Linked DNA regions of Ovis aries. The protein of the gene in region 3 interacts with the protein of the main gene of each other region in a pairwise test. Links are inferred from orthologs where the notes say so. Each region holds a gene or a part of one and is shown on either strand. Other genes may lie near its edges.

Region 1 (4,416 bases), on a different chromosome or scaffold from region 3:
GGGAGATGTGCTCTGACTTGATCCAGAGCGCTCACTGCCTCATCTCCACATCCCTGCAGGCAGAGTGCCTCCAGCTACTTCTGTCCCCTCCGCTTTTGCCTACCATTGTCCCTGAATTTTGGGAATTCTATAGTCCCAGCACTCTCCCATCTCTCCCGTCCTCCCCTGCACTGCATAGCATGTGGGATCTCAGTTCCCCAACCAGGGATTGTACTCAAGTCCCCTGCATCAGAAGCACAGAGTCTTAGTGTCCGGACGACTAGGGAAGTCCCACGCTTGAATTATATTCTCTGATGTATGTCCCTTTTGAGATTCAGGGTTCCGCTAATCTCCATGTCCTTCTGTCTGAGAGCCATCCTTTGACCCCATATCCCCTAGTTTGAGGGGTGCCGGAAGTCATACTCACGCCTGGAAAATCTGAAGACACACCTGCGGTCACACACTGGTGAGAAGCCATACATGTGTGAGCACGAGGGCTGCAGTAAAGCCTTCAGCAATGCCAGTGACCGAGCCAAGCATCAGAATCGGACCCACTCCAATGAGGTGAATGCCCCACTCAGGAGACCCTCCTCCCCACTTACAGACGCCACCTACTTGGGAGCTTCCCCCATAAGAAACCCCTTAGCTCAGCACCCACTTCACAGAGGTGAGTTCCCCTCCACCTGCATAATTCACCCAGAGATTGTCTTTCTGAAACCAAGAATTTCCACTTACTATCCCTCCCCCACCTCTAACCAGTCAAAGGGCTAAGCTAAAATAGACCCATTCTAACTAGGGTACCTTCAACCCCCTGAATTTATGAGGCCTTGCAGCCCTGGGTTCATTCCCTCCCCTTTCCCAGGCCTATCCGTTTTCCTAATCTTCCCCTTGATCCGTTCATCCTTTACTCCAAGGGCCCTACTCTCCTTCCTTCCTTGGGTGCTATGCGTTCCTCCGAGTCCCCTTGTCTTCACTTAACGCCACCACTTTTTCCCATTTCCTGGCATTGTCCCGGTTTGATTCTTTTGCCTGCTGTCTTCACTCTCCACTCAACAGAAGCCCTACGTGTGTAAGCTCCCTGGCTGCACCAAACGCTACACAGATCCCAGCTCGCTCAGGAAACATGTCAAGACAGTACACGGTCCTGATGCCCACGTGACCAAGCGGCACCGAGGAGACGGCCCCCTGCCCCGGGCACCGGCTCTTTCCTCAGTGGAGCCCAAGAGGGAGCGGGATGGAGGCCCCATTAGGGAGGAGAGCAGACTGACTGTGCCGGAGGGTGCCATGGTGAGGCAATGCCCTGCCTCCATACCTCTGCCTGCCCTGCCGACATCTTTCTAGCCCCTTCCAACTGGTCCATCTCCTTCTATGCTCATCTCTCTTCTGTGGCTGGTCCCCAGTCCCTTATCTGAGTGTTGCTCCTTAGGCTACCTCAAATCTAGGGATTTTACTGTAATTCATTAGTGCCTGGGTCCAACCAGCTCATATAGAAATTAGTGTATAATTTGAGGCCTTCTACCAGTATAATTTCAGGTACGCCTCAAAACAACTTCATGAGAAGGGAACTTACTCTTGTCATTTTCAGATGAAGAAACTCAGAGAAATTGTCCAAGGTTACAGAGGACAAATTGGAGCTGAGGTAGTCTAGGTTCTTTTCTAGGAACTTTCCCCCAGTTCACCCGTGTCTTTCACTGGATCAGCCCTCTCTACACCTGTAAGCAGTCACTGGGACACGGGCTCTAGTCACTCACCAAGTTCAAGGAGCTGTGGGGAAGGAGGATGGGCGCCGCCTTCAGCCCTGCTTTTCCCCACAGAAGCCACAGCCGAGCCCTGGGGCCCAGTCGTCCTGCAGCAGTGACCACTCCCCAGCAGGCAGTGCAGCCAATACAGACAGTGGTGTGGAAATGACTGGAAACGCAGGGGGCAGCACGGAGGACCTGTCCAGCTTGGACGAGGGGCCTTGCCTTGCGGGAACTGGGCTGTCTACTCTTCGCCGCCTTGAGAACCTCAGGCTGGACCAGCTACATCAGTTCCGGCCGATGGGGCCCCGGGGCCTCAAACTGCCCAGCTTGAGCCATGCCGGTGAGTGATGGGTGTGGGGCATGGTTGCAGGGCTGAGATCTGGCCCTTCTCTGAGACTGGGAGGGAGACTTCACCTTTCAGGGCTGCTGCACAATTAGAAAAAGGTCTCCTTTCCTCGAGATACTTTCCTTCCTTCTATCAGAAAATTGTTGTCTTTTGAATGCTGTCCCCTTTGATTGTGCAGTGTACAATCTGTAGGACTGTTCACAGCGACCCTGAATGTCTGATGACCCAGAAGCAAAAAGGGAGTGGGAGAAGGAGGGGAGAGAACTGAGTGGCTAGAGTTAAGGAGCCTTCCCTGGAATTCTGGACAAGGCTTCCCCTTGGGAGAGGCAGGGTGAAATTCAGAGGGCTCCCTGGCCAGCCTGTCTTTTCTTACAGGCACTCCTGGCTCTCGCCGTCTGGGCCCCCCGGTCTCTCTTGACCACCGCAGCAGCAGCTCCAGCAGTGTCAGCTCAGCCTATACTGTCAGCCGCCGCTCCTCCCTTGCCTCCCCTTTCCCCCCTGGTTCCCCACCAGAGAATGGGGCATCCTCCCTGCCTGGCCTCACGCCTGCCCAGCACTACCTGCTCCGGGCCAGATATGCTTCAGCCAGGGGAGGTGGTACCCCTCCCACTGCAGCACCCAGCCTGGATCGGACGGGGGCTCTTCCTGCACCTCCCTGGAGAAGCCGAGCTGAGTATCCAGGATACAACCCCAATGTAGGGGTCACCCGGAGGGCCAGTGACCCAGCCCGGTCGGTTGACCGCCCTGCCCCAGCCAGAGTCCAGCGGTTCAAGAGTTTGGGCTGTGTCCACAGCCCCCCTACAGTGGTAGGAGGAGGACAGAACTTCGATCCCCAACTCCCAACCTCTGTCTACTCACCACAGCCCCCCAGCATCACTGAGAATGTCTCCATGGATACCAGAGGGCTACGGGAGGAGCCAGAGGTTGGGACCTCCATGATGGGCAGTGGTCTGAACCCCTATATGGACTTCCCACCTGCCGATACTCTGGGATATGGAGGGCCTGAGGCGGCAGCAGCTGAGCCTTATGGAGCTAGAGGGCCCGGTTCCCTGCCTCTTGGGCCTGGCCCACCCACCAACTATGGCCCCAGCCCCTGTCCCCCGCAGGTTCCCTATTCTGAACCAACCCCAGAAACATGGAGTGAGTTCCCGTCCCACTCTGGGCTCTACTCAGGCCCCAAGGCTCCAGCTGGAGCCTACAGCCAGTGTCCTCGTCTTGAACATTATGGACAAGTGCAAGTGAAGCCAGAACAGGGGTGCCCCGTGGGTTCTGACACCACAGGACTGGCACCCTGCCTCAATGCCCACCCCAATGAGGGGCCTCCACGCTCACAGCCTCTGTTCTCCCACTACCCACAGCCTCCCCCTCCCCAGTATCCCCAGTCAGGTTCCTATACCCAGCCACCTCCTGATTATCTGCCTTCAGAAGCCAGGCCGGGCCTGGATTTCGAGTCCCCCACTCATTCTACAGGACACCTCAAGGCGCAGCTTGTGTGTAATTATGTTCAGTCTCAACAGGAGCTGCTGTGGGAGGGTGGGGGCAGGGGAGACCCCCCAGTCCAAGAACCTCTCTATCAGAGTCCCAAGTTTCTGGGGGGTTCCCAGGTCAGCTCAAGCCCTGCCAAGGCCCCAGTGGCCACATATGGACCTGGCTTTGCACCTAATATGCCCAATCACAAGCCGGGCGCCTATCCTACCCCTTCATGCCATGAAAATTTTGCAGTAGGGGCCAACAAAGCTTCCCACAGGGCAGCAGCACCACCCCGACTTCTACCCCCACTACCAGCTTGCTATGGGCCCCTCAAGGCAGGGGGCACCAATCCCAGCTGTGGCCATCCTGAGGTGGGCAGGCTGGGAGGGGGCCCTGCCTTGTACCCTCCTCCTGAAGGGCAGGTATGTAACCCTCTGGATTCTCTTGATCTTGACAACACACAGCTGGACTTTGTGGCTATTCTGGATGAGGCCCAGGGGCTGAGTCCTCCCCCTTCTCACGATCAGAGGGACAGCTCTGAACACACCCCACCTCCCTCTGGGACCCCCAACATGGCTGTGGGCAACATGAGTGTGTTACTGGGATCCCTGCCTGGGGAGACACAGTTCCTCAATTCTAGTGCTTAAGGAGTGGGGGACCACAGATCCACATTTCCTGAGGGGTTTCCATCCCCATGAGGAAGTCCGGAGGAGGAGCCATAGCCCCCTGGGATGCCCCAGGGATGGGGGGGTGGGCTGGGGCTATACACAGTCTAAATATATTTGGGGAGGAATTTGATAATGACACCGTTTCCTGATAATAAAGGAACTGCATCAGAAAGAGCCCTGCTTTATACTGTGACTATCTTGGGGGAGGGGT
Region 2 (4,855 bases), on a different chromosome or scaffold from region 3:
TCGGGAGCAACGTCAGAGGAAGGAGACGGGGCTGGAGGGAGGCCCAGCTGAGGATGGAGGCTCTCGGCGGCCTCGAGGACCAGATGAGACGGGGTGGGAAGCGAGCAGCTGGGAGCGGGCGGGAAAACGCCGCCGCCGCCCACGGTCTCGGCCCAGCGGCAGCCCAGGCGATGCTGGGGTGCGGGGTGCCCGGGAGGCTGGCCGAGGAGGATCGGCTCAGTTACAACGGCAAGAAGCAGGGTGACCGTGCTGCGGGGCTGGCTGGGGCAAGAGGTCTAAAGCCGATGGAAGACAGTGACGGATGTGACCCCGTGATGCGCGAGGCTGCGCCAACAGGGCGACGCGCACACCCAAGCACATGGGTGCGGCAGAGCCTGCCTGCTGTCCGCAGAGACACAGAGTTCGTGGGCACTGCCCGCAGATGGAAAAGGAGGGTTGGAAAAGTGAGTCCACGACGTTCTGGGGCCTCTGCCGCTGGGAGCCTTTCCTTCCGGAGGGAAGTCGGGTGGGGCCCACGTGTCCGGAAGACACTGATGAGTCCGTGGAGAATTTAAAAACCCCTTACCCCACCAACTGACCCTGAGATAGGGGGACTGTTCGAGATGATGCAGGTGGGCCCACCCTCTAAGGATAGCGAGGTTCCTTAGAGGTGAAAAAGGAGAGCAGAGGAGAGCGTCGGGCGAGCCCCCTCGAGCACTGAGTGGCCACTGCCAGCCTAGGTTTGGGGAAGGGCGGTGAGCGCGACACACAGGCCGCCTCTAGGGTGGAAAAGTGTAGCGATGGTTCTCCCAGAGACCAGAGAAGGAAAGCAGGCCTGCAGGACCTATGCCTGCCTCCTGACCTCAGAACTGTAATCTGTTTTGTTTCTTAAAACAAGAAGAAAAAGAAAATAACATGAACAGAAATCTGACGCTCGAGAAAACTCGCCACTCCCACTCTGCGGGAGTCTGTTTGAGGAAACACGCAGGTTGCTCCCAGAGGGTCTGCTCAGGTGTGTCCTCATGGCACCGGGAGCCGCGAGGGAGGCGGACAAGGAACCGTCAGGGCCTGGCAGAAACCCGGGAAGTGGAATCTCCACCTAGGCATCATGACACGTCCCATTTTTAGCAGCGCAGGGAGGTGGGCGGGAAGGGCGCGGCTCAGAACAACGCGCAGGGGCCTCTCCCGCTGTAAAACCCCACCCTGTGTGAACACGAGAAAAACAGCGGCATCAGTGACCGTTTTCGTGACCTTCTTTGTCCTCTGGTATATTTCAGACTTTTCTAAGTGAGCAGAAACTACTTTCAAATAAGGAAACTCTCCCAAGAATGCTGCCCATCCACCCCCACCCGCCCCTCACCATCTGTGTGTGACTGGGCCCTGCCCTGGCACCTTCCTCTGTGACCCCAGCACAGACCTCACCTCTGGCTGCCAGCCAGACTGTGTTATAATGAGGAAGAACCTTTGAATTCTGTCACCTGAGTCAGTCACTAGAGGAATGCTGCTTCTAAGCTTAAATTATACATAATAGCCCAACTCTGGGAGCCCTGACTCACAGGTAGTGAGCATTTAAGCTAGAATTCCTTCATTTAGCTCACAGGAGACCTCCTGACCACACCTACCTGTGAATGTCTACAGGGAGGAGGAAATGAACACATCCCCTCTGAACCAGGAAATGTCTCACCTGACTCTATCCCCTTTCAGTGTAAGAGCAGCCTGGATTTTAACACAGACGAGACGGTTCTTTGGGGCACAAGTCTCCTATCGTCTCAGTTTGCTGGCTTTTTGAATACAGGCGCAACTCCTTGCCCTAACCACTCAGGCTCTCAGTTCATCAGCCTGTCATGCAGTGAACGATACAAGCCTGGATGCGGTAACAAGATCCCCGGTGCTCAGTTCCACCTTCAGCCTGGCCGTGCTTCCCCAGGCCTGAGTATGGGCAACAGCTCAAAGGCCCCAGAAGGCTGGGCATGGAGGAGGTGGGTCCCTGGGGTGAAGGCTTCTCCCTCCCGGTTTCAGGCTGCAGTAAGCCCCCCACCCCCATCCAGGTGTCCTCCACCTTGCCCAGTAACGATGGTTACTGCAGCACTCAACACCCTCCTGCAACCCCTGCATGTGCCCGAGTCTGCAGGGGGCTCAATCCTTGGGCGCATCTGTTTCCCTGAAATCACCTCCCACAAAATGCTTGTTTTAGAGCAGAATGGAGCCCCGAAGTGCACCGAGTTAACAGCCCCCAAGACGTCCACGTCCTAACACCTGGAGCTGTGAATGTCACCTCACACGCAAAGGGCTTGTGCAGATGAGAGCAGCAGGGTGGGTGGATGGGGAAGCTGTGTGGTCCTGAGACGAGGATCACCACGGTTACTGGGGACTCTGGACGCAGCCCCGAGGGCCTGACAAGTAGGCAGTGTGGGACCGCACCATCCACGGCGAGCATTGCCGATGGAGCGAAGGGTCACAAACCCAGGGGCGCAGTGGCCTCCACAAGCCAGAAAAGCTCTTGCAGTGGGTTCCCCCTTAGAGACTTCGGGAGGAGCCAGTCCTGCTGACACCGTGACTGGGCCCAGGGAGACGCAATCCAGAGTCCCAAGAGGGTACACGTGTTGTCTCCAGCCATCGCAGCAGTAGCAAAGCACCACAGGACGCTGGCCAAGACCTGAACGACTGCCCACGACCCAAACAGGCCGCCGGGGGTGACCCACTGTGCAGGCTGTGGGGACACAGCCCTGAGCCGCCGGCCTACAGGCCTAAGTGACATCTGTTCTCAGAGCCCATCCTTGTCCAGAAATCCTTGGAGAGACGTTCCCTTCACGTCCACTCAGGCAGGGACAACAAAGCCAGCAGTGGGGTGTGCGGCCAAGGAGCAGGTGGGCTGGACGCTGGTCCCGCTCGGGGGTCAGGTGCTCGGCAGCTCTAGGGGCTGGGCGGGAGGGCAGGTGCTCTGATCCAACCAGCAGAGACTAGACACCAGGATTCTTCTGCAGAAATGTCTCCAGTTTAAAACTAGAATCTGTTAAAACTCTAAAACGCACAGTGGCTAAACGTCAGCTTTGCAGCTGGCTGCAGACAGAAGCGGGCCATGCTCTCCTGGGCTTCCTGGCCCGTCCACACTCAGACCTCGGGCCCAGCTTCTGCAGGAGGAGTGGGAGAGGCCTGGTCACCAAGCCAAGTGGTCCCAGAGGTCGGGGGAGCCTGCACTAGGTCACCGGTGGGAGCTTGCAAGTCCCCTGGCGGCACTGGGCTGGCGGAGGCCTGGAGCCCAAGCCTCTCAGAAAGCTGCGGTGGGGGAGGCAGGAGACGGGGAGCATTGGCTCCGGGGGGAGACTGAGGGGGGCCGGGGGATCCCCTGGGACTCTGACCTGCTCCAGGGTCCTGGGCGGCCTCCAGGTCTCCAGGCCGTACCGGCGCAGGGATGGGGAGGCCACCCTTCCTGCACTCAAGGGGCCTCGGGCCGGTGGCTCTTGCGGTGGATGACCAGCTGGGACTTCCAGTCGAAGCTGTGGCCGCAGTCGGCGCAGAGGTGGCGCCGCTGGCTGGCGTGGCCCTTGCGATGGATAACCAGCTGCGACTTCCAGCTGAAGCTGTGGCCGCACTCCTCACAGGCGTAGCCGCGTGGGCCCGGGAGCGCGCGCGGGGGCGGGCCGGCCGGCGGCTTCTCTGCGCACGGGCCGCCGGCATGCGCGCGGCGGTGGATGACGAACACCGACTTCCAGTCGAAGGCCCCGCCACACTGAGTGCACGTGTAGGGCTTGCTCCTCGGCGGCGGCGGCGGCGGCGGCGGGGCCTCGGGGCCGCCGGGCCGGCCCTCGCTCTCATCTCCTGGGGAGCAGAGGAGGCCAGGTCACCTGGGGACCCAGCACTGTCCAGCCGGGGCCGCCTGGGCGCCCCGCCCGCCCCCATCCTCCACCCCCGCCCCTGCCCTACCCGCACCTGCACGCCTACCCCCACCAAGGGACCTTGAGAGGTCACTCACCTGGGCGGAGGCTTCTCCGACCCTCGGATCCGGATCCGGAGCTCAGCCCCTCCGGCTGCAACTCGGTGCGCGACTCAGGCAGGGGGTGCGTCAACCCTGCTTGAGGTAGGGGGCCCATCAGGTGAGGGGTTCGCACGAATAAGGGGACGGGGGGCCCTTGGGAAGCGCTGGGAGGCAAGGTGCGCCCAAGGGCCCAGAGAAGGAGAGGGGGCCTCACCCAGGGACACCACCGTGCCGTACTTCTCCAGCATCGCATCCCAGTTCAGCTCCTTCTGGGACGGCTCCAGGAGCCCCCACTCCTGCAGGGACACAACCCATCACCCACAGAACTGTCGACCCCGCACCCACCAGGCCGATCCTGGCCAGAGCCTTGCTGGTCCCCTGAGGGGTGGCAGGTTACCTAAGCCTCACCTGCTTCACCACTGAGTGCCGCAGATGCAGGCCCAGGAAGGGAGCTGCCTCTTGGCTCACCAGTCACCCTCAGCTGCCCCACCCCAGGTTCTGGCCGCACAGAAGGAAGCTGAGGACCCCTGGATGGCCCTGGGACTGCGTGTGCTGCATGGAGCAAAAGGCCAGGGAATGGTGGGGACCCCAACCACCTCTCCCCTGCCTCTGGTTTCAAGGGTAACAGAGATCCTCAGGGAAAGTGCCCAGGGCCTCAGCAAACTTGCAGGGAGGCTGGAGAGCCAGAGGGCAGGCACGGCCTCGCACCTCCAGACACAGCCCGGCCGGCTGTGGTTGATGCAACTGGGCCTTCAGGCTGCGGCTGGGTCCTCTCGAGCTTCTCAGTGCGGAAAGGGTTAGGAACAGTGTCACTGGGAAAGGACAAGACCCTGCTGCCTGCACTCAGGACCCAAGCCCTGAGTGGCAGGGGCTTCCACGCCCAGCTGGCTGCAGCTGAGG
Region 3 (3,521 bases):
AGCAGCGTCCATGCGGTGCTCAGAAAGGTGCCAGGCGTGTCACAGCCTCATTTGGTCAGACAGGAGGAAGTGTCTCCGTGGTGTTGCCCTCTGCTGGGAGCCCTTTCCCTCAGTCCTCTTCCTTCCCTCCCATCAGCCCGGTCTCCCTGTCCCCCCAGGGAGAATCGGTATCTAGTTTGGGCTGCACAGAGGGTGAATCTGGTGTGCTGCCAACTCACCCCATCAGGGCAGCTGGGAGAAGAGCCGTGTCCGCTGCCCCGGGGGCGCAGTCTGCCGCCTGTCCCTTGCTGAGTCCCAGTCAGGCCGCCTCCAGGGTTCTTCATGACACCCCAGGAAGTGGCCCTGGCCTTCCTCACACTTTGGACAGACAGGACAACCGAGGCCCTCGCGCTGAGGGCTCAGCCATCTCCTGTGGCAGAGCTGGGCTAGTGCTATGGCCTCCTGCCTCTAGAAAATTTTCCTTTTACTGCCTGAGGCGTCCCAGTGTCCCTTTTTATTTTTATTTTCTTGGCTGTGCTGCTGTGGGATCTTAATTCCCAACCAGGGGTCAAACCTGTGCCCCGTACGTTGGAAGCCCCGAGTCTTAACTGCTGGACCGCAGGGAAGTCCCCCAGTGCTCCTTTGTAACGTCCGTCCTGCCTTCTGTCCTCCCCAGCAGAGCCTGGAGGTAGACTTCCTCTCAGTGTGTGGGGGTAGGTAGAGGCCATGCCATGTTCATTATGTGTTCCTGTGTGTGTAGGGAGGGGGGTTACAGAGAAGGGGTTGTAGGACTGGGTAGGAGACCAGCTGCTCTTGAGGTCACCACAGGGTCATGGGGTGCATGCCTGTCATGGGTGTGTATGGCTCCGGCTGTGGTTGTGCATGCACGCTCATGCACACACGATTAGCAGGGGTTGCGGGCTCCTTTCTGAGTGAAGTGCTGCCCTGCCCGGAACCCTCCGCCCACCCCGCCCTGACGAGGAGGCCTCCCTTTGTGTCCCCCTTGCAGGCTACATCCAGAAGATTAAGTCTGGAGAGGAGGACTTTGAATCTCTGGCCTCACAGTTCAGCGACTGCAGCTCCGCCAAGGCCAGGGGAGACCTGGGTGCCTTCAGCAGAGGTGCGCAAAGAATGGGCACCCCTGAACCCCAGCAAGACCCTCTGACCCACTGGCACCTGCACCCCACCTAGAGGGATGGCCCGTGTCACACTGTCCCCTGGGGTCCACCAGGTGGCAGCAGAGTCCCTTCCTCAGGCTGCAGAGTCTTCTCCCCGGTGGTGGCATTTCTCTCGGGGTGGGGCATCCATCTGTGTGTGTCTCTGCTCAGTTGTCCCCATCACAGACCCACCAAGGTGGGTGCCTGCTGCCATTTCCCTCTCTTCCTGTTGAGGTGCAAAGCTGGGGCCCCTAAGAGTCCCAGAGCACATCCCCCAGAATCCTCTGCCCACCCTCCTGGGTGGAGAAACCAGGAGTGAGGGGAGGAGGGGGTCAGATCAGCAACCCTGCCAAGTTCAGGCCTCTCCACCTGGGACTGTGGGAAGGGAGGAGCAGAGGGAACCAGGCCGCCGCCGCCTCCCCCCTTCGTCCTGGGGTCTCTAGAGCATCAAGGAAGGGCCCAAAATAGGCTGAGGGGTGTTTGGGAGCCAGCAAGGGGCTGTGGGCCAGGGAGACCAGCTCCTCGGTAAAGCTCCTCTCTCAGTGCACAGAGGAGACAGCCACTGTGCCTCGTTCTTCATGCTGTCCTCAGCTTCCTGGGGCCTCCCTAATAGCCTTGCCACCCCCAGCTGCGCCCAGCTCAGGCGCCGTGGCAGGGCCGGAAAGTGCATGACGGATGAGTCAGAATGAGGGCCCTGGGGGCGCAGTGGGAGCCCCGTCTGCCCAGTCCCACCTGCAGGTCTGGACCCCACCCGCCACCTCTCCTGCTTCCTCCCCCAGGTCAGATGCAGAAGCCATTTGAAGACGCCTCCTTCGCGCTGCGGACAGGGGAGATGAGCGGGCCCGTGTTCACAGATTCGGGCATCCACATCATCCTTCGCACGGAGTGAGGGGTGTGGATGGCCCAGGCCTGGCCCCCTGGGGGAGACAGGTGGGACGGGGTGGCTGGGCCCGCAGACTCCGCTCCCTGCTGCCGGCCAACCAGTGGGGACCCCTCCCTTCTGTCACACAGTATTTATTGATCCCAGAATGGCTGGGAGGGGCCCCTTCACCACCGGGTGCTCCCTGTCCGCTCCTATTGGGGCTGTCCCTGCTAGACTCCCCTCCCCTTTAGGAATCGACTTCAGAAGGGCACAGGGTGGAGAGGCTCCCTGGGCTCCCAGGGCCAGGGTTGGGGGTGACCTGTCCCAAAGAGAAGGCCTAATTAGCTGAGCTGCCCCTGTGCCACCCCAGGTCCAGGATGGGGTCAGGTGGGCCTTGAGTTGTTGCTGGTTGGGCCGTGTTCCTCTGTTCAGTTGTAAAAAGCAGACGCTCTGCGTGGGGCCCAGGCTGCTGGCTGCTATGGGGCCTCTAAGCAGCCATGCAGCGCCTTCCCCACCCTTGATTAAACCTGGAACCACTGCTCTGCTGTCTGGCATTTCATTTCCCACCCCCAGGGCAGCGATCATCTCCCACCACCCCTGGTGTCAGGTGTCCAGGCCATGTTCCCTCCCTGGGAAGCTGCTCCTTTCCCTGGGCCTGGGGTGCTTCATAGCAGCAGCAGACTCTCAGGGAAGTGGAACAACCGCGGTCCTCAAACTTGGGTGTTCAGGAATGTTCCAGAATGCAAGGGCCCTGACCGCACAGCTCTGGGTTCAGCAGGTCAGGTGGAACAGGAGAATCCTCAGGGAACCCAAGTGAAGTCCCCGTTCACCCTTGGTGCTCTCGGTGCCGTGCCCCCCCAAACACACCCCACTTCAGTTGGAACAAAATACTCCCAACACTCCGATGCCCACTCCCCTGTCACCGTAAGCATTCTGCCAGGACCCGGGCACCTCTGCAGATGCTAATTCCATGGCAACGGGGGCCAGTGAGAGGGCACTGCCAGATGTCTCTGAGAGCAGGGGTCCTGCCCAGCCTTCCGGTGGCAGGTGGGGGGAGTTCTGTGCTGGAACATGGTAAGGGGAGGGTCACTGAGCAGAATCCCTGCAGTGGGTGTGGGAGGGGGCAGGACTCTTCAGATGGAGGCTGGGGGCGCGGCCCATCTGTTCTGCATGACTCCTCACAGCTGCCCCTGGATCTGGGCCTGGGCAGGAGGCTCAGCGGTCAGTCAAAGGGTTCATGGGTGTGTTGGAGAAGGGGTTATGTCCGTTCTGCACCCCACGCACACACTTAATGGGGACCAGCCTGGATCTTGGAGTGGTGGGCTAGCAGGGCTTGGGAATCCAATAAAATAAGCCCTGCCTGGCCTGACCCCAAGGAAGAATCCCCTTACCCCCAGAGCTGAGTCTCTTAACACAGGCCTGAGTTGCTCATAAATAGTCACCTGGGCCGACTCCCATCTGGCCAGTTTCTGGAGCAGTTGCTCTCTGCCTGCCAGCACGCTTGTCATTAAGGTTTAATGAGC

What was found. The genes of interacting proteins can lie anywhere in the genome.
Region 1: the proteins of PIN1 (region 3) and GLI1 interact in binary tests that used the Homo sapiens proteins (3 or more experiments, as listed by UniProt). The link is inferred for Ovis aries from reciprocal best matches to the Homo sapiens genes PIN1 and GLI1.
Region 2: the proteins of PIN1 (region 3) and ZNF446 interact in binary tests that used the Homo sapiens proteins (3 or more experiments, as listed by UniProt). The two-hybrid records come from large-scale screens. The link is inferred for Ovis aries from reciprocal best matches to the Homo sapiens genes PIN1 and ZNF446.

What each region holds. Positions count from the first base shown.
Region 1 is NC_056056.1:162,170,497-162,174,912, reverse strand, and holds the end of GLI1 (zinc finger protein GLI1), read left to right. Parts: intron 1-378; coding exon 379-543; intron 544-1,035; coding exon 1,036-1,266; intron 1,267-1,793; coding exon 1,794-2,061; intron 2,062-2,442; coding exon 2,443-4,184; 3' UTR 4,185-4,377; downstream 4,378-4,416. UniProt on the Homo sapiens protein: Acts as a transcriptional activator. Binds to the DNA consensus sequence 5'-GACCACCCA-3'. Regulates the transcription of specific genes during normal development.
Region 2 is NC_056067.1:66,377,154-66,382,008, reverse strand, and holds the end of ZNF446 (zinc finger protein 446), read right to left. Parts: intron 4,252-4,855; coding exon 4,170-4,251; intron 4,049-4,169; coding exon 3,953-4,048; intron 3,799-3,952; coding exon 3,416-3,798; 3' UTR 1,215-3,415; downstream 1-1,214. UniProt on the Homo sapiens protein: May be involved in transcriptional regulation.
Region 3 is NC_056058.1:12,295,453-12,298,973, forward strand, and holds the end of PIN1 (peptidyl-prolyl cis-trans isomerase NIMA-interacting 1), read left to right. Parts: intron 1-988; coding exon 989-1,099; intron 1,100-1,915; coding exon 1,916-2,025; 3' UTR 2,026-2,536; downstream 2,537-3,521. UniProt on the Homo sapiens protein: Peptidyl-prolyl cis/trans isomerase (PPIase) that binds to and isomerizes specific phosphorylated Ser/Thr-Pro (pSer/Thr-Pro) motifs.